Linked DNA regions of Oryctolagus cuniculus. The protein of the gene in region 1 interacts with the protein of each later gene in a pairwise test. Links are inferred from orthologs where the notes say so. Each region holds a gene or a part of one and is shown in the gene's direction. Other genes may lie near its edges.

Region 1 (4,238 bases):
AGAACACAGGAAAGCCCGTGTGGGGAGGGGTCTCCCCTTTCGCTTCTGTTCCCAGCTCTCACCCCCCCCCCCCGCCACCCTGTTGCCATTCCTGAGTGTTCTTCCTTCCGAAGGCTCCGTGCACATGTGCCTTTGTGGGTGCATGCATTTCATTTTTTCTTCATTCGAAGGACAGCATATTACGCCCACCAAGCCCTCTTCTCAGTCCATGATACCTCAGTCCATATGCTTATAAGGACTGTTCACTCTGGTGTCTGCAGTGCCTAGCCCAGGGCCTGGCATATAAATGTAAATAACATCTTCCCGCAGAGTCTGGGTGCAGCACAGAAATTAACTCCTGGGTGGGTGAGGACCTGCGCCTGGACACCAACAGAGCCCAGCAGCACTGCTCCCTGCCCTGGGCTGCTTCCCAAAGCCTGGGGTGGGGGCGGCAGAACCCAGACTCAGCCTCTTCAGCTGGCTGAGAACCCCACCTTTGGGTGTTGTCGCCAGCAGGTGACTTCCCGAGCTAACTTGCTGCTGCCACCTCCATGTCTCTGTTTCTTCCTCCCTCCCCTCCCCATCCCTCCCCTCCCCACTCCTCCCTCCCCTCCCCACTCCTCCCTCCCCTCCCCATCTCCTCCCTCCCCTCTCCATCTCCTCCCTCCTCTCTCCTTCTCCTCCCTCCCCTCTCCATCTCCTCCCTCCTCTCTCCTTCCTCCCCTCCCCCTCTCTCCCTGTTTCTCTCCTTCTTCCCCTCCCCATCTCTTCCTGTCTCTCTTCTCCCTCTCCTCTCCATCTCCTCCCTCCCCTCCCCGTCTCTCCCTCCTTCCCTCCCATCTCTCCCTGGCTCTCTCTCCCCCCTCTCTCTCCCCTCCCTGTCTCTCCCAGTTCCCAGTCTCTCTCCTTCCTCCCCTCCCCCCTCTCCCTCCTACCCCTCCCCTCCCCGTCTCTCCTCCCTTCCCTCCCCATCTCTTCCTGTCTCTCTCCTCCCTCTCCTCCCCATCTCCTCCCTTCCCTCCCCATCTCTCCTCCCTTCCCTCCCCCATCTCTCCCTGTCTCTCCTCCCTCCCCTCCCTGTCTCTCCCTCCTTCCCTCCCCATCTCTCCTCCCTCCCCTCCCCGTCTCTCCCTGGCTCTCCTCCCTCCCCTCCCCATCTCTCCCTGGCTCTCTCTCCCCCCTCTCCCTCCTTCCCCTCCCTGTCTCTCCCAGTTCCCAGTCTCTCTCCTTCCTCCCCTCCCCCCTCTCCCTCCTACCCCTCGTCTTTCCGTCTCTCCTCCCTTCCCTCCCCATCCCTCCAAGGCTCTCCCTCCTTCCCTCCCCATCTCTCCTCCCTCCCCTCCCCGTCTCTGTCTCTCTCCTTCCTCCCCTCCCCCCTCCCTCCTTCCCCTCCCCTCTCCGTCTCTCCCTGGCTCTCCCTCCTTCCCTCCCCATCTCTCCTCCCTTCCCTCCCCCCGTCTCTCCCTGTCTCATCCCCCTCTCCGTCTCTCCCAGGCTCTCTCCTCCCTCCCCTCCCCATCTCTCCCTGTCTCTGAGGGTTCAGGGTGTAGCCTCGCAGTCAGTTTAGGGGTGAGGGGCACAAGGAAAGACGGGGTGGGGCCCGGAGGACTGGCGCCCCGCACGGAGGCGGCAGCGGGAAGTTAGCCCGAGAGGACGTTTCCCGGAGAAACGCACCCGCTCGCGCTCCCCGCGCTCGGAGCCGCCTCCGGCCGCCGGGCCCCTCCCTCCCCGGCTCCTCGCCTCCCCCTCCCGGCCGGCGCCCTGGCTCCCGGGCCTCCGCGCCGCCGGCTCGTGAATGAGACGCTCACTTTCTCAATGGAGCCGCGGGGGGCTCGGGCGGGCGCGGCGCGGCCGTGAGCCGGGCGGGGGACGCCGCCCCCTCGCGCCCTCCCTCTCGCCGCCGCCGCTTTTGAGGAACCGGGCCGGGAGGCGGCCGCGCGGGGCGCAGGGCCCGCATCCCCGGGGACGCCCGGCGGCGCGGCCAGCAGCGAGGCCCCGCAGGCCAGCGGCCTCCGCGAGCTCTTGATCTGCCATTTCCTCTTTTGATGCCGGGCGTCTGCTCGCCCGCTCGCCTGCGCCTTCTCCCCTCGGGAGAGTGAGGGAGGCAGCGAAGAAAAGGAGCAGGGTCTTCCCCGCAGACGCGAGCGGGCGCCCCGAGAGGTTTTCCTCCAGGGAGCGGCCGCGGGCGCAGGGCCCCGCCGCCCGGCCATGCGCGAGCCGGCCTCGGGCTGCTGAGGCGCGGGGAAGCGGAAGCGGAGGCCGAGCGCGCCGGGCCACTCCAGTCCGCCGGGAGGCGGCGGCGGCGGCTGCGGGATGGAGCCCGCGGCCGCGCCCCGGCCCGACATGGCGCCGGAGCTGACCCCGGAGGAGGAGCAGGTAAGGCGGGCCGCCGCGGTGGGTGTGTCCGGCCCCGGGGCCTGCGCCGGCCGCTGCCTCCTGCAGCCGCTCCCGGGCCCGGGGCCTGCGGGCCTGGGGCTGCGGGCCTCGCCGCAGTCGCAGCGGGCGCCTCCCGCCTGCCGCCCCGGCCCCTGCGCCCGCCGTAGGTGTCGCGCCGTTTGCCCTGGTCAGGGCTTGTGGGGTTCCCCGGGAGGGTGGAGATGGCGCTGGGGACAGGGCTGCCCCAGGCTTGCTGGCAGGCCTCGGCGGCCCGGCCGCCCGGGCTGGGCGCAGCCCCCCAGCCCCGCTTGCCTGCCCCACCTCTCCTGCGCGTCTCCATCTTTCGGAAGCTTGCATTGGGCTCCATTGTCCCTAACCGCTGTGACCTTCAGTTCCCTGGAGGAAGTGGTTTGCGGTGTCATTGGGGGGGGGGGCGGTTGGGGAAGGGACGAGCCCAGGGCCCCGGGAGCTTTCCCAACCCCGCGCCGTGGCCGCGGGGACGTGGACCCCTCCGTGTGGACCCCTCCGTGGACCCCTGCGTGTGCCCGCCGCGGCGGGGCCCAGGGCTTCTCCATCTCCCTCGGCGTGGCCCGTGCTCAGCCCCCGCTATGCTCACACAGAGCCGCTGGCTGACTCCCCGTGTGTGTGTGTGTGTGTGTGTTTTTTTTTAAGTGATAAAATAAGGAAAAAACGGGGAGAAAGGACAAGGTGGACCACGTGGGTGACCCATTTCCAGCTGGCCAGGCCCCCGGGTGTGGGCAGCCTGGTTTTACAAAGCGATGTTGGCTCAGGGGGCTTATTCAACAGCCCCTGACTTTAACTCCGCATTTGTGGACATGGCATTTTCCACATTTGGTCGCAGACCCAGTTTTGCCTTTTGGTGCTGTGAGATAAAATAAGCATGCAGGGAAAAAATAAAATTAAAAAAAAAATAAAAATAATTCGGCTTGGTACAAGCCCAGGGGCCTGGTCGCTGCAGTTGGACGCCATTCAGAGGGAGGTGGGCAGGTGTCCCCTGCTGGGCGAAGGCGTCCGTACTAAGGTGTGGTGGGCTGGCTGGGTATTCCAGACACCAGCGTCTTCCCTTGTCCTCCTCCCTCAGCTCTGTCAGATTTGAAATTTCTCTGTTTATGAAACTCAAAGGCATCAGGTCTGTATGACAATGGTATAGATTATAAATTAAAAAATTAACACTGGAGAAAATAAATATTGAAATATTCACAAAAGGTTTTCATCAGATTCTTTTTTTCCCCCCGTCTTACAAAATGCTTAATGTTCTACAGGTCTTTCAAAACGTTGAAATAAACATAAAAGAAACATAGTTCTAATTACAGTAATACTTGCTCTTCTATTTTAATATGATGTCCTCTAAGAGTAGTCTTAACTGTTACTGTTTCTTTAAAGTCTGCAAGCAGCAGTAACTGTGTGTGAGTCTTATGAAGGGATGGTCGTGGGAAATGGCACTTTCATTCCATGATGCTGCCCAACGCATTGCTCAAACCATTTCAGAACTCATTTGGGTTGATTTCACAGCTTCCGCAGCGTCTTCAAAATATCTTGGTGTTGGAAAATCCTTGTCCTTTTGAGAGTCAATTCGAGTTTTGGAAATAGCAAGAAGCTCTTTGGGAATCCTGTTTTGTAAGTAAGGTGGAGACTAAACACATTTTCAGGCAAAAGTAATGTGCTTGCAGGCCCCTTTGGGGTGTGTGCGCTGCCTTCCGGAAGCTTCTGGGGCAGATCCTCCTGGTTGGTGCCTCCTGTTACACAGTGAGGCTGCAGAAACCCAGCAGTCTTGGACACTTTGCTGTGCCCTGGCCCCTGCTCATCCTCACACCTTCCTGAGGATCTCTTTAAAGCATCAGCTTCCTCTCGTGGCCACCCCC
Region 2 (3,509 bases), on another chromosome or scaffold:
GCTGACCTCCTCTCTGGTGCCAGTTCGAGTCCTGGCTGCTCCACTTCTCTTCCAGCTCCTTGCTAATGGCCTGGGAAGGCAGTAGAAGATGGCCCAAGTCCTTGGGCCTCTGCACCCATGTGGGAGACCCAGAAGAAGCTCCTGGCTTCAGATCGGCCTGGCTGCAGCAGTTGTGGCCATTTGAGGAGTGAACTAGTGGATGGAAGACCTCTCTCTCTCTCTCTCTCTCTCTGCCTCTCTCTCTCTCTAATTCTTCATTTCAAATAAATTTAAAAATCTTAAAAAAAAAAAAGAGGCACCCTGCCGCACATGAGGCCGCGTCGTGGGCACGGTGAGAGGGCAGGCCAGCCCGGACCGCGCTGCCTGGGTCTTGCATGCAGCCGAGCAGAGGGGCAGGAACACGGCTGTAAGCCGACTCTTCAAGCCCAGCCCTGCCGCTCGGCAGCTGTGCGAGCCCTGGCGAGTTGCTCAGCTTCCCTGTGCCTCCGTTCCCTCATCCCCAAGACGAGGGTAAGAAGAGTGCCCGCCTCCCAGAGCTGTCACTGACGCAGAGCACGGAGGCGGGTGACGCTGACGCACTCGGGACTGTTGCAGACAGCAGCCGGTGCCCTGTGAGCTGGCCGGCTCTCACTGAGTTGACAGCAGTGTGGTGGAGCCACGCCCTGAAAACTGAACCGGGCAGGCACGTGCTGAGAGGCAGCGAGGAGGGTGGGGAGGGGAGGGGTCTCGGAGTTAGCATCTGAGCTGAGACTGACAGGACCAGAGGGGCGCGTGCTCAGAGGCCGAGCTGTTTTATTCCCGACAGAAAACCAGTGGAGAATTTTTAGCAGGGCACTGACCTGTCTCATTGCCGATACTGTTGCTATTTCGAGAACAGACTGCAGGGGGCAGGAGTGGGAGCAGGGAGACTAGTGTGGGGTGGCCTTGGCCTTGGCCGTGGCCACTGGTGCTCGGGCGAGGATGGGACCATGTGACCGGATTCAGGATCTAGGGGGCAGGTAGAGACGGTGCCAGCGGCCTCGCAGACTGCACGGCTTCTCAGGAGGCCTGGGACCCTGTGCAGGAGGGAGGGGCTGCAGGAGGGGCGGGCGCCTGCCGGGTGGGGGCCCCCTGACCTGACCAAGGTGCCTCTTCCTGCAGGGGCTGCATCGTGTTCTCAGGATCCTACGCCTGGGCCAACTTCACCGTCCTGGCCTTGGGCGTGTGGGCCGTGGCCCAGCGGGACTCCATTGACGCCATAAGCATGGTGAGCCTGGGCCGAGCCGGGGCCCTGCCGTGTTTCCCTCGCCCAGCCAGTCTGCTCCCTCCGCCTCGGGCCCCATTGTGCACGGGTGCAGCCTCGGAACTGAGCCTCCTGGGCTACCAGCCCGCCTGGCCTTCACTGGCCTGGCCCGCTCTGAGAACGCAGGTCTGCTCTTGCGGGCCCCAGGGAGGACGCGGGCTCCACGTGGCACCCCAGAGTGCCTGCTGTCCCCAGCAGTCGCTCATGACCCTGGGACCTGCCTCTGGGGCTCTCAGGAGGGATGTGGCCACAAGGGAAGCCCACTGCTTCGTGACATCGGCGACACAGCTCTGCTGATGGTGTGGGGCTCCCAGCACGTGCTGTGCCGGGAGGTGGTGAGCGCCCAGCAGGAGACTCTTCAGGCTGAGGCCGTGGCCTCTCAGGGTGATCAGGAAGGGAGTTTCTTTGTGGTGGAGACAGATGGGTTGGATTGCAGGGGGCCTCCGATTTGGAGGCTCTGGAACCAAGCCTGGTCCCCATCACGGCGCCAGGGGTGACGGGGAGGTGGGCAGGGCTGGGGCTGTGATGGTGCCAGCAGCCTGGGTCCAGCCCTGGGCCCTGGCATCCCCACTGGAGCCCCTCCGCAGGGGTCTGCCAGCAGGTCCTCAGCACCCGGCCAGGCGCGCGCTGCCGCAGTGGGGTGGCAGCAGGGGTACCGGGGGCGGGGCGGGCTGTCACAGGATGGCGTGTCTTGCAGTTTCTGGGTGGCTTGCTGGCCACCGTCGTCCTGGACATAATCCACCTCGGCGTCTTCTACCCGCGGTCCGGCCTCTCGGACACCAGCCGCTTCGGGGCTGGCATGGCCATCCTCAGCCTGCTCCTCAAGCCCGTCTCCTGCTACCTCGTCTACCACATGTACCAGGAGCGCGGCGGGGAGCACCTCTTCCACTCAGGTGAGGACGCCGCCCCGGCCGCTCGGTCTCCCCATCCCGGGAAGGGCAGGCACGCGACCCTTGCCAGCTGTCAGCCTGAGGCCGAGCTGGGGTGTGGCTCACTTCCCGGGGGCAGCTCTGGGCAGTCTGCGGCCTGAGGCCCGCCCTCGGTGCCCACCTGCTCCTGGCCCTGGCCCCCCTCTCCGGCACATGGGGACTCCCCGGTCCTGTGCAGAGCCCATGCTGGGTGGGCTGGGAGCGTCAGCAAAGACACCACGGCCCCGCCCAGCCCCACGCTTGCCCACGCCTGCGCTCTCAGAACCGGTCTCCCTTCTCATGGTGCTGAGCCAGTGTTCCTGCCCTCTTGATACATGACCTCACTTCCTCCCCCTCCCCTGAGAAGTGGGGAGTGGTGGGGTGTAGGCGTCTACTTTCTACTCCTGGGAACAGAGGCCTGAGTTTCCCATGATTGACCTGGGAGAGCAGCTGGGGCCCCTACCCTGGCAACCTCAGCAGTGCCTGCACCTGCCCCAGGGTGGAATGCCCGCCCATTGCACAGATGAATAAACTGAGGCCCACAGACTGGGACTTGTTCAGGATCCCAGGACAAATGTGCAGGGTGCTTGGAGGCCCACCACCCTGCCAGGGACCTGGCTCACGTCCTCTGGGCATGGCCACTGTGCAAGAATCCAGATATGGATATCTCTCCTGGATATGGTATTGCGATGTCCTGTGGCTGGCATCCGTGGGCCGGGGTCCTGAGCGCTGCTGGGAAGCATGTTCCCCGGGCCCTGCTGCCACGCTTTGAGCCAGGCTGTGTGACCTCGGCAGGGCTCTGACCCCTTGAGCCTCGGTGTCCTCACCTGCAAAGGGAGGGCGATGAAAGTACCTGCCCCGTGGGCTCATGGGGGGATTGAACAGTGCACCGTGGAGACACGGGGGGATTGAACAGTGCCCCGTGGACTCATGGGGGGATTGAACAGTGCCCCGTGGGCTCATGGGGGGGTTGAACAGTGCCCCGTGGGCTCATGGGGGGGTTGAACAGTGCCCCGTGGGCTCATGGGGGGGTTGAACAGTGCCCCGTGGACTCATGGGAGGATTGAACAGTGCCCCGTGGGCTCATGGAGGGGTTGAACAGTGCCCCGTGGACTCATGGGGGGATTGAACAGTGCCCCATGGGCTCATGGGAGGATTGAACAGTGCCCTGTGGACTCATGGGAGGATTGAACAGTGCCCCGTGTAGACACGGGGGGATTGAACAGTGCCCCGTGGGCTCATGGGGAGATTGAACAGTGCCCCGTGGAGACACGGGGGGATTGAACAGTGCCCCGTGGGCTCATGGGGGGATTGAACAG
Region 3 (4,287 bases), on another chromosome or scaffold:
TAAATCTCAGAAAGTAATGACTAAGAGGGAGAGATGATAGGAGGTATAAAGAAAGGTTTCACCCACACCCTGCTTTGTGGCTTTTACCCGATGCCACCACCACACCTATGAGTTTCGATTATTAAAATAATGAGGTAACTACAACTTGCTGAGTAGTGTACAGAGATAACCACAGTTCCTCAAAGGCTAAACCTGAAAGACAAGAGTAAGATCCAGTCTGGAAAATGTCTGACCATGTCCACTAATATTTTTTCCAAATTAAACAATATGTATGTGTTGCTGTGTGCAGCTTTGTTGATCTTCAGCTGCTTTGTTTCATCTGCTTTGTTTCACTTACAAAGTGTGGACATTAAAACCAGGAATAAAATGGAGATACATCTGGCAGGAGATCTAAACCACACATAGAATGCTTTAAAAAAAAAAAAAAAAAACCTTCAAAGAGTTTTGGGGCAGGAATTTGGAGCAGCAATTAAGATCCTACTAGGGACCCTTGCATCACATGTCAGAGTTTCTGGGTTCAGTTCCAGCTCCACTTTTGATTTCAGCTTCCCCTCCCTGGGGGTCAGCATAAAGGCTCAAGTAATCAGGTGCTTGCGCCTGATGTGGGAAAACCCAGATGGCGTTTATGGGGCTGGTTCCTTGTTCCCTGCCCTCGTCGTTGAAGGCATTTGGGTAGTGAACCAGCAGGCGGGAGTGTTTCTTTCTTTCTCTCTCTCTTTCTCATCCTCTCTCCTCTCCCTCTTTCTCGCTCTCTCCCCTTCTTTTGCTCTGTCTCTCAAATACATTTTTATGTCTCTTTAAATGTTAAAAAGGAAAGAAGTCAGCTTCATACAGGTGAAATTAAGGATTAAATTTCTATGTGGAAAATACAATCTTCCAGGCAGCATCATGTACCTGCTGTCCTACGCAGCTACCATTCGAGAAGCGTTTACTATGTGCCAAGTTCTTTCCCCTTGCCCGCTGTGCCATCTGATGTGCACATCTATGCGTGGTAAATGCCCTCATCCTCATTTCCCTGGAGGGCTCCGTGCCTGCAAACTTCACCTACAGCCAATCCGTGCGGGAGCAAAGACCCTACTCGGTCCGTCCTAGAACACAGGTCCTTCATTTCTCAGGTGTGACTTATGACCTCGAGTTTGCCTCTTGAGTCATAGCCCCAATACCTGCTCTCCTCTCAAATTGTGGATTCTGGGCGAAGCCGGGCTGTGAGACTGGAGTGGAGGCGGAGCCAGGTGAGAACAGGTGGAAACTAAGAACGACAGAAGGTAAAAAGTAGAGCAGGGCCGTGGGGACGGGTGTTGGGAGACTCCGGGAAGCACTGGGCGCTAGCTCGCGGAGTGGGAGGGGCAAGGAGAGCTGGGCAGCAAGGAGGGTGCCAGGCGGCGGCCGCACCTGTGCATGTGACCGCCTCGGGCGCCGGGCGGAGGTGCGCTCACCTGGGCCCACGTGACGGGGCGGGGCCTCGCTTGCGGAGGGCCACGCCCCCTCCCGCTCCGCGCGCCCGGACCCCGCGAACCGGAGCTGCGCCGGGAGGCGGAGGCGGGAGCCGGCGGCGGCGGCGCGCGGAGACGCAGCAGCGGAGCGGCAGCATGTCGGCCGGAGGGCCAGTCCCGCCGCCCCCGAACCCCGCAGTGTCTTTCCCGGCACCCCGAGTCACCCTGCCCGCCGGCCTCGCCATCCTGCGGACCTACTCGGGTGCCTTCGTCTGCCTGGAGATTGTAAGTGGGGCAGCGGCGGCCAGGGTCGCGCCCGCGGGATAGGGCAGGCGGCGGCATCCTTGTCCGGCCTCGCCGGTCTCCACCTTTGAGCCAGCCCTCGGCCGCCTCCTGTTTGACGAGGCCTTTCCCTGCACCCCCTCCCGTGGTCCTCTGCATACCTGGCGCGGGCGCCTGGGCCCTTTCGCCTTGGCACCTGTTACGCCGGCACCTGTTTCCCCCGCCGGCCACGGAAATGGCCTCGGGAGAGGCGCAGGTGGACGGGCGGGGCGGAGGACTGGGGACTTGGAGAGAAAAGGGCTGTTTGGGCTTGGCAGGGGGCCGGCTTGGCTAGAATGGGAGCCAGGGATCTGAGTCTCGCCTGTTGCTAACCTGCCATTTTGTTGGGTGCTGCAAAGGTGTAAGCGATGACTGGGTGACCGGGAGTCTTCCACAATGTGGAAAGCGAGGGCAAGAGCCGGCAGGGAGAGGAGGAGGAGGAGGGCTGATGACCTGGGCACGGTTTCTCCCCCGCTCACCCTTGCCATCATTGGTGCCCTTTGGATTGGGGAAAGGACAGGGAGCAGAGGCAGGGCAGGGAGAAGGGTGAGGTGTGCACGCCGCTCTTGGCAGTTCTTCATCAAGTGGGCGTGAGAACTGTGGCGGAAAGATGGATGCGTGGTTGTCAAGTCCTTCTTGGCCTGCCTGTCTTCCTACAGGAATCCAAACCTCAGCATACTTTGTGGGGCTCAAAGAAAGGTGGAGTCACCTGGCTTTTTCTTCCTGCTCTATTCACTTGAACTTTTTAAAAGGAATTTTATGGAGTTGGAAGCTTCTGAAGGTGGTTGTGGACAGGCGGGAATGTGCAAATATAAATTGGGCAATGGAGGTTGCATCATGCCTGAGAATGGCAAATAAAGAGTGAAATGTTAGCGAAGTAAGGCCTTTTCCACAGGCTGGTTTTGTTTGCTTGGTTTGGGGTTTTTGTCTCTCCCTTCACCCTCAGGTTGGAGTTTGCATAACCTGCATTTGGGTCATCTCGGTTTCGCTTTTGCGCTTGCGAGGCTGCGATGCCCTGTGAGCATTGTTTGTTTTGTTTTTCATGGTGTTGTACAAAGGTGGTCACACCACTCCACATTAAATGTAGCTAAGGTTTGAATCTGAGAGAAGTGGCATCTGTGGCATCAGGAACTGGATCCTGACTGCGGGACTCGGAGAGGCTGGGTTGAGTCGAAGCCGGGTTCAGGAGCATCGGAATGCTTGAGCTGAGGCACTGGCATCTATTTAACAAAAGCAGAGAGATGATGGCTTTGGGCTGGCTGCACGCTGTCGGAGAACAGGAGTGGTCTGGGGAGACAGATTTGATAGGTTCCGGGCTGCTTTTCCCCAACCTCCAGGTGTTTTCCTACCTCTTTCGGAAGTTTTTGCAGTATTTCTTTCTACCTGTACCAGAATTTACAGAACGTTCACTTCAGTAGACTCACTCTCTAAACTTAAGTACTTTCTTGAGCTCATCCTAAGTTATAATATATATGAAATCTTAAATTTGGTTTGCTGCTCTGTGTTTCTAATATTTATCAAACATGTATACATTTCCATATATATATATATGTAAAGATACATATATTCAATGAAGGCTTTTCCATATGATGTCAAATCAAATACCATCTCAAGCACTATCTGTGACCATGTCACTCTTTTGGAAACACTACCTAATTCTAAGGAGAAAAGGGGATGAAAGATGACTTATTCAATTTTCTCTTCTCTCTTTTTTGTTCTTTCTTTCTCCCTTTCAAATCTAGCCAAGTAGTTAGTGCCCAACTCTCACTGTAGTTAATAACTTGACTAGTTTTAAAACTACTGTTGCCAGTTCAGACTAATTAAATCAAAATCCCTAGAGAAGCACCCAGAATTAGCAATTTTTTTTCTTTAATGAAAGTTTCCCCGGAGATTCTAATATACAGTCATGGCCTGGCATCACTGATGGAGTCCTCCATCAAGAATGTAGAGAACACAGCTCTTCTTGCAAATGTGAACTTCCTCCATTAAAACTTTTAGCACATCACAGAAGGGATCCCAGACTCACAAAAGTATCTGTTCTACTGTTCTACCCTTTTTATTGTCTGTTACTGCAGTTTTCTTACCTGACATGTGTCTAGAACACTTACTAGATAAAACAGCATCACTTCCACATGTGTTTTTAGTTTTAAAAACTAAAAAAGTGTTTTTCACTTTTTATGCCCAAACATTTTATAGGTTTACATCTCTTTTTCAAAAGATTTATTTATTTTATATGAAAGTCAGAGTTACAGACAAAGAGAGAGAGAGAAAAATAGAGAGAGAGAGAAAGATCTTCCATCCATTGATTCACTCCTCAGATGGCCATAATGGCTGGGGCTGGGGCTGGGCCAAGCCGAAGCAAGGAGCCAGGAGTTTCTTCAGTGTCTCCCACGTGGGTGTCAGGGGCCCAAGCACTTGGAACACCTTCTGCTGCTTTGCCAGGGGTGTTAGCTGGGAGCTGGATCAGAAGTGGAGCAGCCAGGACATGAACTGGCATCCATATGGGATGGCAGTGTCTCTATGCCACAATGAT
Region 4 (4,121 bases), on another chromosome or scaffold:
ACAACGGTGGCCCCTGGTCGGCTTCCCCCTTAGCCACTGCTCTCCTCCTCCCTGGGTGGTCCCCACTGCCTGGGTCCCTGGCCATTGCCCACCTCCCATCTCATACAGAACACAGTCCAGCAATCCCTGCCCCGTAACTGTGGTGGCCACAGCAACAGCATTGAGCTTAGAGAGGAATCGAGGAAATTCTACCTGAAGTCCAGAACCCCAACCCAAAATGTGTCATCTCTCTGGCTGAAAGAAGCTCCTGTGACTAAATAAAAATGAGGGGACTTCCCTCCCCCCCACTCTCTCTTTCTCTCACACACACACACACACACACACACCAAAGGCATCGATCTATTGCCGACCTCTTAAATGTTATCTGCCCAAGGTCAATATTCCTGGCCTGGGTCTGCCCTTAGTGCCCTAATTTGTTTCCTCATTCTCATAGAATCCCCCTCCTAGCAGAGACCAGCAAGCATCCAATCCTTGATCCCTAAGGCTCAACTAATTTTTACCGTTAGCACCAAATCTGCTGACTTTAACCCAAAATGTTGACCCCTAAGTCTAAATTAGCTCACCTGTAACTTGATTCCTAACTCACCTTTTCACTGTTTATCCTTAAAACTGACCACGACAATATCCTATGATCCTTAAAATGGACTTCTAACCTAATTCCTGTTGTTGACCATTAACCTGACCCTGAACTCTTTTAACTCTGACTTACCTCTGGTCATCCCAGGAAACAAAATAACGACCTCAACCTCAACCTCACTTATTTATAAAACGGATCTAAATCACGCCAATAACTCAAGCGTTAACCCCGGCCTTACACCTCCTAAAGAGACCCTTGATTCCCAAACCCAACCCCACCTAAACCCAGACTCATCCACAGCTCTCCAGCCCAACATCCCCGCTATCAGCAAACACCAAAGCCCATCCCCGCCCTGCGCCCCGCGGCCGCCACACTCCTCACCCTTCCCCAAAACCTATTCCAGGCCAAGGACTGCTCCCGCAGAGGAGCCACCTCCCGCAGATCGGCCTGCCGAGACACCCTGGAAGCTGACGTCTCCCCCAGAACCCGCCATAGACGCGCCGCAGTCAGGGGCCGCGCCCGCCCGCCTCCCGGGCCAGACCTCGCGGCCCCACCCCGAGGTTCCGGCCCGGCCCGCCGCGGCCTACCTGCGCTGCCCGGCTCTGCGCCCCGCCCGCCGGCCCTGCTCGTCCTCCGGGCCCGCTCTCCGGCTCCGGCCTCGCCCTCCCTTCGCCACACTCGGCCACTTCCGTCCCCGGCGCGTCCCCCACCCCCGGGCGGCGCCCTGGGCCCGCGCTCTATGGTTTTGGGGACCTGCAGGAAGCTGCTCTGGCCCCAGCTCTCGATGCTCGCGAGCCCGCCGAAGACTGGCAGCCCCTCCCCGGCAGGAAGCCAGGGCGCGGCGCAATCCGGAGAAAACACCCCAGCGGCGCCCGAGTTCCCTGTTACACTCGGACTCTTCCTTTTTTCTAGCTCGGGGCGAAGGCGGAGGCGAGTCGCCGGTGTCCCCGCCCCCGGGGCGGGGACGTCCCCCTCATTTGCATCGCCCCCGGGACGTGGCGCAGCACCCGAGCCACTTCCGGCTCGGAGGGAACTACAAGTCCCGAGAGGCCGCGGGGCCGCGTGCGTCACTTGTGCTGTGTTGGAGGCCGAGGGCGACGGAGTCCGGCGGGTGGGTGGGTCGGGCTTGACAGCGACTGCCGCCCCGGCAGCGGGGAAGGCCAGCCGAAGAGGAGCGGTGGGTAGGCGGGAGAGACCCGGCGGTTGGGCTGGGGGTCGTGCCTGGGGCTCGCGTATTGGAACCGGGCTGCGAAGTGAACCCTTGAGTTTCTGCCGTAGATGTCGCAGATGGAGCTGGCGTTGGACCCTGGCGATCAGGACCTGCTCGGCTTCCTGCTCGAGCAGAGCGGAGCATGGGGGGAGGCAGCCGATGAGTCGGTGGAGGCGCCCCCGGATTGGGAGCTGCCGCTTTCCGAGGTGGGTGGGTAGGGCTCCGCGTCAGGGAGGCGCGGCACGTCCGCGAGACCCGGGTGTCAGTGACAGGCCAGGGCCTGGGAATTTGAACCCGGTGCAGGTACTGAGCGACTGGGAGGCAGAGGATCTGCTGAGCACCCTGCTGAGTCCCCCGGCGTCGTTGGCCGACCTCAGCTCCTGCGAGCCCTCGCCTGTGCACCACGATCACACTTACTCCCTCCCACAGGAGCATGTCTCCGTGGACGTAGGTGAGTGACATCAGAAAAGTTGGGAGCTAGAGGAGAGGGTCCGTGGGCCCGGCTAGTCACAATTGCCCTTTTGCAGATAGTGGGAGCTATGGGAAGGAGGAGGCTCCGATGACTCCGCTGTATGTGGAGGAGCCAACAGAGCAGGTAGCTGACTTGATTTTCAGGAGGCTTATCCCCACATTGCACGGGGCGGGGCGGGGCGGGAATTCCCATTTCTTTCGGACATCCCCATGCAACTGCTGCCTACTTCCCCGTAACCTCAGGAGGTTGCTAGGCTGGTACTGACCGAGGAGGAGAAGAGGCTACTGGAGAAGGAGGGGCTTACTCTGCCTGGAACGCTTCCTCTCACCAAGGTAAGGCTCCCATTGGTGGGGCAAAGGCTGGAGGGTGTAGGGGAGGGAGAGTGCAGAGAGGCTGGTCGACCTGTACCGGAATGCAGTCAGATAGGAGTCACTTCTAACGTTATGCTTGGTAGCAGCTGCATTTCAAAATAGCTAGCAGAGAGGATATTCAGTTTCTGATTCAAAGAAATGATAAATGTCTGCAGTGATACATGTGCCAGTTACCCTGCCCTACTTATTTTTACATTGTATACATTACTTAAATGTCACTCTGTATCCTATAGATGTGTGTAATATCAGTGTCAAAAATAAGATACACTTAAGAGGTGAACATCTTAGCAGAGTTGTTGGTTAATATGCTAGATGCAAGGGTGGATCCTGGTTTTGTGAGGCTTCTAACACATTTTGGTGTTCTAAGAAAAAAGATTTCAGAATTATCAATGCAACATTAGCGTAGGGCCTTGGGCAGGACTGTGCAAGGGAAGGGCTCTGCCACTTGGAGTTCATCGGCTTGGTGGTAATCTACATCGCGCTGAATGGGAGAATTGTTTTAGGGAGTTCAATGAGGCTGGATTAAGCCTTCTTTTTTTTTTTTTTTTTTTTTTTGACAGGCAGAATGGACAGTGAAAGAGAGAGACAGAGAGAAAGGTCTTCCTTTTGCTGTTGGTTCACCCTCCAATGGCTGCTGGGGCTGGTGCACTGCGCTGATCTGAAGCCAGGAGCCAGGTGCTTCTCCTGGTCTCCCATGGGGTGCAGGGCCCAAGCACTTGGGCCAGCCTCCACTGCAGAGAGCTGCAGGCCATAGCAGAGAGCTGGCCTGGAAGAGGGGCAACCGGGACAGAATCCGGCGCCCCGACTGGGACTAGAACCCGGCGTGCCGGCGCCGCAAGGTGGAGGATTAGCCTAGTGAGCCACGGCGCCGGCCTGGACTAAGCCTTCTAACAGTACAAATGTAGAAGCATAAGTTTTAAGTTTCAACACTGGGTGGTGACTTCACAAGCACAGTATTGTGACCCTGTAATAAAATAAGTACTTATTAAAGAAATTTTAACTTCTTAAAAGTACAAGATGAGTCAGCAGTGAGATATGGCAAAGCAAGTGGGATGTGGAAGCAGCGTCAATACATGCATTGTCTCTAAAAAGGCAAGACTGTCTTGCTGTCTTTTGTACAAATCACAGTGCATTTTAAGTGCCCAGTTTTGGGCCTGTATCTTTGACAGATACCAAGAGGATGCAGTGATGGTGAAATGTTGGGTTAAGAAGTCTGTCCAGGGTTTTTTTGTGTGTGTGTTTTTTTAAACTCTGAGGAAATGCCAACAGCCTTAAAACAGCTATGTAGAATTTTGTTCTACACGACCCCAGAGATAAGTTCAATGGATAGAAATTACATGGAGGCAGATGTTAATTCAGGGTAAGAAATTTTTCAGTGAATGAAATTGTTAAAAATGCTCTGGCACCTGTGATCTTAACACCTGGTCTTTAGAGGCATTCTGATGGAAACCAAAATGGCTACTGGTTAGGGAGGCTAGACAAGGGATTCCT
Region 5 (3,976 bases), on another chromosome or scaffold:
CATCACAAGCAGCAGCCTGACCTACGTTACACTACAACTTTGGCCCTTATTTTTGGCTTTTTGATGTTAAAATGTATTTGCCTTACCCATGGGGTAGTAAAACATGTATGATTACAGAATGTAGATTAGATTTACAGTTTCTTGTATATAGAAAATGGTCTACACCAGTGTCTTACCTCTGCATGAGATAAGTGATTTTTACTTCAGCAAAATGTGGCATAATTTCAAGTCTGAAACCAAAAAGTTTTTTTCTTTGTTGTTTGCTTATTTTTTTTTTTGAGAAAGTGCTTCCATCTGATGACCATCCTATGCCCAGTATTACCCCAGTGGCCAGGGTTGGGCAGGGCTGAAACCAGGAGCAGGGAACTCAATCCAGGTAGCCCACGTTGGTGGTGGGATCCCTCCACCTGAGCCATCACCACTGCCTCACAGTCTGCGTGCACAGGAACGCTAGAGGCCAGACCCAGAGCCAGACATTAAACCCAGGCACTCTGTGTTCTAAAGACTTATTTATTTTATTCATTCATTCATTCATTCATTCATTTGAAAGAGTTACAGAGAGCAGGAAAGACAAAGAGATCCTCCACCCACTGGTTCACTCCCTAAATGGCTGCAGTGGCCTGGCTCAGCCACTCAGACAGGATCCAGGAGCTTCATCTGGGTCTCCCACATGGGTACAGGGGCTCAAGTACTTGGCCCATCTTCTGCTGCTTTCCCAAGCATATCAGCAGGGAGCTGGATCAGAAACGGAGCAGCTGGGATTCATGCCAGCATCGCAGTTGTTGGCTTTACCCAAAAAACCCAGGCCCTCTGATATGGGACACAGACAACTTCAGCCCCTGAAACGAGAAATTTTTAAATTTCTGGGCATCATTCTCCCCTCCCAGCATACGCAGTAGTATTTAAAGAGTGGTTAAACTAGGGAACAACAGTGCCTTCAGGAAAATTGCTCACCTCTGTGTTGCCACGACTGACTCTGCTCTTCTCCTTACAGACCCAGATCGATCACTATGTCGGCATCGCTCGGGACCAGACCAAGTCGATCGTTGACAAGTGAGTACGTTTAGGGATCTCATGTCATCGCCATTGTGCTTTGTTCTTCAGTGGTGCATAGTCCTCTGTATAAAATGCTGCTTACAAAGAAAGGTACCTTCACCCTGAAGAAAACCTTGGTTAATAGCTTGATTTAGTAAGAAATTATTTTCACCACTTTAAAAAACATGCTGTGTCTCAGATTACAAAGGAGCAGTGGAATGAAGACCACGCTGCCTTTTTGAACAGCTGGTGGTTTCCCCACCTCCGTGACTGCTTACATCGAGGAGTATCCTTTTTGTCTTAAATTATTCACAACAAATAAATGTGAACCCAACACTTCAAATTAAAATGCTAACATTTTTCTGTTTTCTTCAGATAGTAAGAAACAGAGTCACAAAGAGTTAAAACCTCTCTGTGCCCTAAGTTACTTTCACAACTTTTCAGGAGGAAACTGTGCATCCAGAGAAGTCTGACTTGATGCCAGACTGCACTGGTGCTAACGCCAGGCTGGCTGCAGCACCAGTCCCCATCTGGTGGTTTGGTTTGTAAGAGGTGGTTGGGGCGTGATGGTTTGGTCGCCAGGGTCAGCTGCCGTGGGTCCTCTGCCGCGGGTGTGATACTTGTGACCTTAGCAGCGGGTGACCGGAGTGACACCTTCGCCAGAGCAATGGGCAGCTTTGGTACCCTGCCAGGGGCGGGGGGCAGCTCCTGCAGTTGGGAGCACCCAAAACCAGGACCCATGGCCTCCTCACCTGTCTCCTTGACCCTGACTTCTGGTTCCTCGCCAGCACCAGAGGGTGACCTGTGGACATGGAACACTGTGTTCAAGTCCCCACATTTTTCTGCGGACCCCTGGTGTGAAAGGGACAGGGGTGGGGTGGATCTTTCCAGACCTTCCTCCCACCCCAAGCTCGCCCTACGCCAGACTCGGCCGCCACTCACACCCTGCTCCCTGTGAAGACAGGAGACTTCCCCACGGAGCCCGCACCTCTTCTAGCACCCCTGTTGAAACTGAAACTTGGGACAAATTTTTCACTTCCGTTGTACTTTTCTTTTCTCAATAGGATCCAAGCAAAGCTCCCCGGAATTGCCAAGAAAAAGGCAGAATAAGCACGTGGAAGCCAGAAATGCAACAGTTACTAAACCCCACTTCCTAGTTATAACGTCCTGACTTGTGAAGGCGCGTGCTCAGTGCCAGCGTGAGCCTGCATTCCAAGCTTTGTTTTTTAATTTGGTGTTTTCTCCCTTCCCTTCCCTTTGCCCTTAGTATCAAGCACAAGAAATGTTGGACTAGAAGAACTGATATCTTAGAGGAATAAGGAAAGACTCAGATTAGTGGGATGGATCAGTACCTTAGTGGTGGAGGACCGTTGCCCTGCAGCTCGGCAGGGGACAGGTGGGCAGTGAAGGCGGGGCGAAGGACCGAGCGACTCCTGCAGCTCCGCTGTAGCTCTGCCCTTGTTTTTAAGTTAAGAAGCAATGATTAACACATGAAGAAGCTATCTGAGGACAGGAGTGGGATGCCTTCCCTGGGGTTCCCCAGAGCCCTGCGATCCCATCCTCCCGCCCTCCAAAGTGAGCAGCTATTGCTAACAGTCCTCTTCTTCGCTTAATGGAACAGCTTCCAACTCTGGATAACCTAACGGGCTCGCGAGAATTCCTGATTCCCAGAGTGGAAGTGGAAAGTAGACTTGTCCTAGGGGCAGGAGGGCTCCGCCGTCTGGGAGGGGTGTCTGCGTGTCGCCAGTTCTGGGCAGTGATGTGAGAACTCATTCCTGGGTGTGCTCCCCTCTTCCCTGCCCACCTCCCCTCTTTAATAAATATGGTTGTACTTTTCTTATTATGAAATAAATGTCTGTAACTGCTGTACACTGCTGTAAACTTGTTAGAGAAAAAATAACCTGCATGTGGGCTCCCCAGTTACCGAGTTATTGTGACCCTGTCTCAGTCCGTGGGGGGAATGGCCTCACAAGGTGACCTACAGAGACACAAACAGCCTTGTTTCTTTGTGTTTCCCTTGTGACTTGCTTCATCACGTGCTGCATCTTTAACCTGTGTTCATCAGTTTCGCCTGAGGACCAAAGCCAAGCCGTGCCACATGACCACAGATCAGTGTAGGGAAGTGCAGTTCATGGTCTTAGGGAGTTGTAAGTGCTTTGTGCTGGCTTTATGGGTCTGTGTTTTGAGGGTTCTTTCCATTTGCAGGCACAAAGTGCCTCAGCTCTGCCCTGGCCCAGGGTGTCCCTGCGGGGAGTTTTCCAGGAAGTTCTAGGTGAAGGTGACCAGGCAGGGGGTAGCGCGTGTTGTGGGGCTGTGCGCATGGAAGGAACATCAGGTGCAGGGCAACTAGGAAGGTTTGGCTCCGCTTTGAGACTAAGTTTCTTCCTCCCCTTCCCCATGAGACATCTGTGAACTTGAAAGAAAAGTCATCCGCGAGCCCCTTCAGTCACGGCCACGCAGGGGCACTGAGAACTTCCAACCAAGTAAGGGCTGCCATGTGCGATGGTGGCAGGAAGCTGTCTTGTCTACAGTTTTTGGGGAAATTTGCTTAGGAATTTAGATGGGTGAGAGGTACCCTTGCCTTACTCCACTTTCTTTTCTCAGTCCCCTCTCCTTGTGATTGTTTGATTTCACATCGCAGTGGGAGATGCACTCCGTCATCCTCTGCCTCCCAGGAAGTCGATGCACTGATTGTCTTTTGGGCCCCCCCCAAAGGACCTCTGCACTGGACGCCTCCAGACCCAGCTTGTCTTCTGTTGCTGCTGTCTTTAGATAATTGGAGAGATCTTTGTGCCACGCAGGATTTTTTTTTAAAGAAAAACCTATAGATGAAAACATTACTAATGAAACTGTGCGTGTCTGTGCGTGCAACATACGAATACAGTAGCACCTACGGAGCTTGACTCTTGGTTCCTGTAAAACTGCAAATTGATGTGATATT

What was found.
Region 2: the proteins of PTPN9 (region 1) and AGTRAP interact in binary tests that used the Homo sapiens proteins (3 or more experiments, as listed by UniProt). The two-hybrid records come from large-scale screens. The link is inferred for Oryctolagus cuniculus from reciprocal best matches to the Homo sapiens genes PTPN9 and AGTRAP.
Region 3: the proteins of PTPN9 (region 1) and MAL2 interact in binary tests that used the Homo sapiens proteins (3 or more experiments, as listed by UniProt). The two-hybrid records come from large-scale screens. The link is inferred for Oryctolagus cuniculus from reciprocal best matches to the Homo sapiens genes PTPN9 and MAL2.
Region 4: the proteins of PTPN9 (region 1) and CREB3 interact in a two-hybrid assay, tested with the Homo sapiens proteins (2 studies listed by BioGRID and IntAct). The two-hybrid records come from large-scale screens. The link is inferred for Oryctolagus cuniculus from reciprocal best matches to the Homo sapiens genes PTPN9 and CREB3.
Region 5: the proteins of PTPN9 (region 1) and RTN3 interact in binary tests that used the Homo sapiens proteins (3 or more experiments, as listed by UniProt). The two-hybrid records come from large-scale screens. The link is inferred for Oryctolagus cuniculus from reciprocal best matches to the Homo sapiens genes PTPN9 and RTN3.

The regions. Positions count from the first base shown.
Region 1 is NC_091443.1:108,418,045-108,422,282, forward strand, and holds the start of PTPN9 (tyrosine-protein phosphatase non-receptor type 9), read left to right. Parts: upstream 1-1,430; 5' UTR 1,431-2,292; coding exon 2,293-2,355; intron 2,356-4,238. UniProt on the Homo sapiens protein: Protein-tyrosine phosphatase that could participate in the transfer of hydrophobic ligands or in functions of the Golgi apparatus.
Region 2 is NC_091438.1:156,693,238-156,696,746, reverse strand, and holds part of AGTRAP (type-1 angiotensin II receptor-associated protein), read left to right. Parts: intron 1-1,140; coding exon 1,141-1,246; intron 1,247-1,979; coding exon 1,980-2,175; intron 2,176-3,509. UniProt on the Homo sapiens protein: Appears to be a negative regulator of type-1 angiotensin II receptor-mediated signaling by regulating receptor internalization as well as mechanism of receptor desensitization such as phosphorylation.
Region 3 is NC_091437.1:145,008,522-145,012,808, forward strand, and holds the start of MAL2 (protein MAL2), read left to right. Parts: upstream 1-1,485; 5' UTR 1,486-1,589; coding exon 1,590-1,718; intron 1,719-4,287. UniProt on the Homo sapiens protein: Member of the machinery of polarized transport. Required for the indirect transcytotic route at the step of the egress of the transcytosing cargo from perinuclear endosomes in order for it to travel to the apical surface via a raft-dependent pathway.
Region 4 is NC_091432.1:198,639,756-198,643,876, forward strand, and holds the start of CREB3 (cyclic AMP-responsive element-binding protein 3), read left to right. Parts: upstream 1-1,316; coding exon 1,317-1,754; exon of another isoform or gene 1,755-1,758; intron 1,759-1,855; coding exon 1,856-1,993; intron 1,994-2,090; coding exon 2,091-2,238; intron 2,239-2,314; coding exon 2,315-2,382; intron 2,383-2,501; coding exon 2,502-2,591; intron 2,592-4,121. UniProt on the Homo sapiens protein: Endoplasmic reticulum (ER)-bound sequence-specific transcription factor that directly binds DNA and activates transcription. Plays a role in the unfolded protein response (UPR), promoting cell survival versus ER stress-induced apoptotic cell death.
Region 5 is NC_091432.1:7,434,862-7,438,837, reverse strand, and holds the end of RTN3 (reticulon-3), read left to right. Parts: intron 1-994; coding exon 995-1,053; intron 1,054-2,099; coding exon 2,100-2,145; 3' UTR 2,146-3,468; downstream 3,469-3,976. UniProt on the Homo sapiens protein: May be involved in membrane trafficking in the early secretory pathway. Inhibits BACE1 activity and amyloid precursor protein processing. May induce caspase-8 cascade and apoptosis.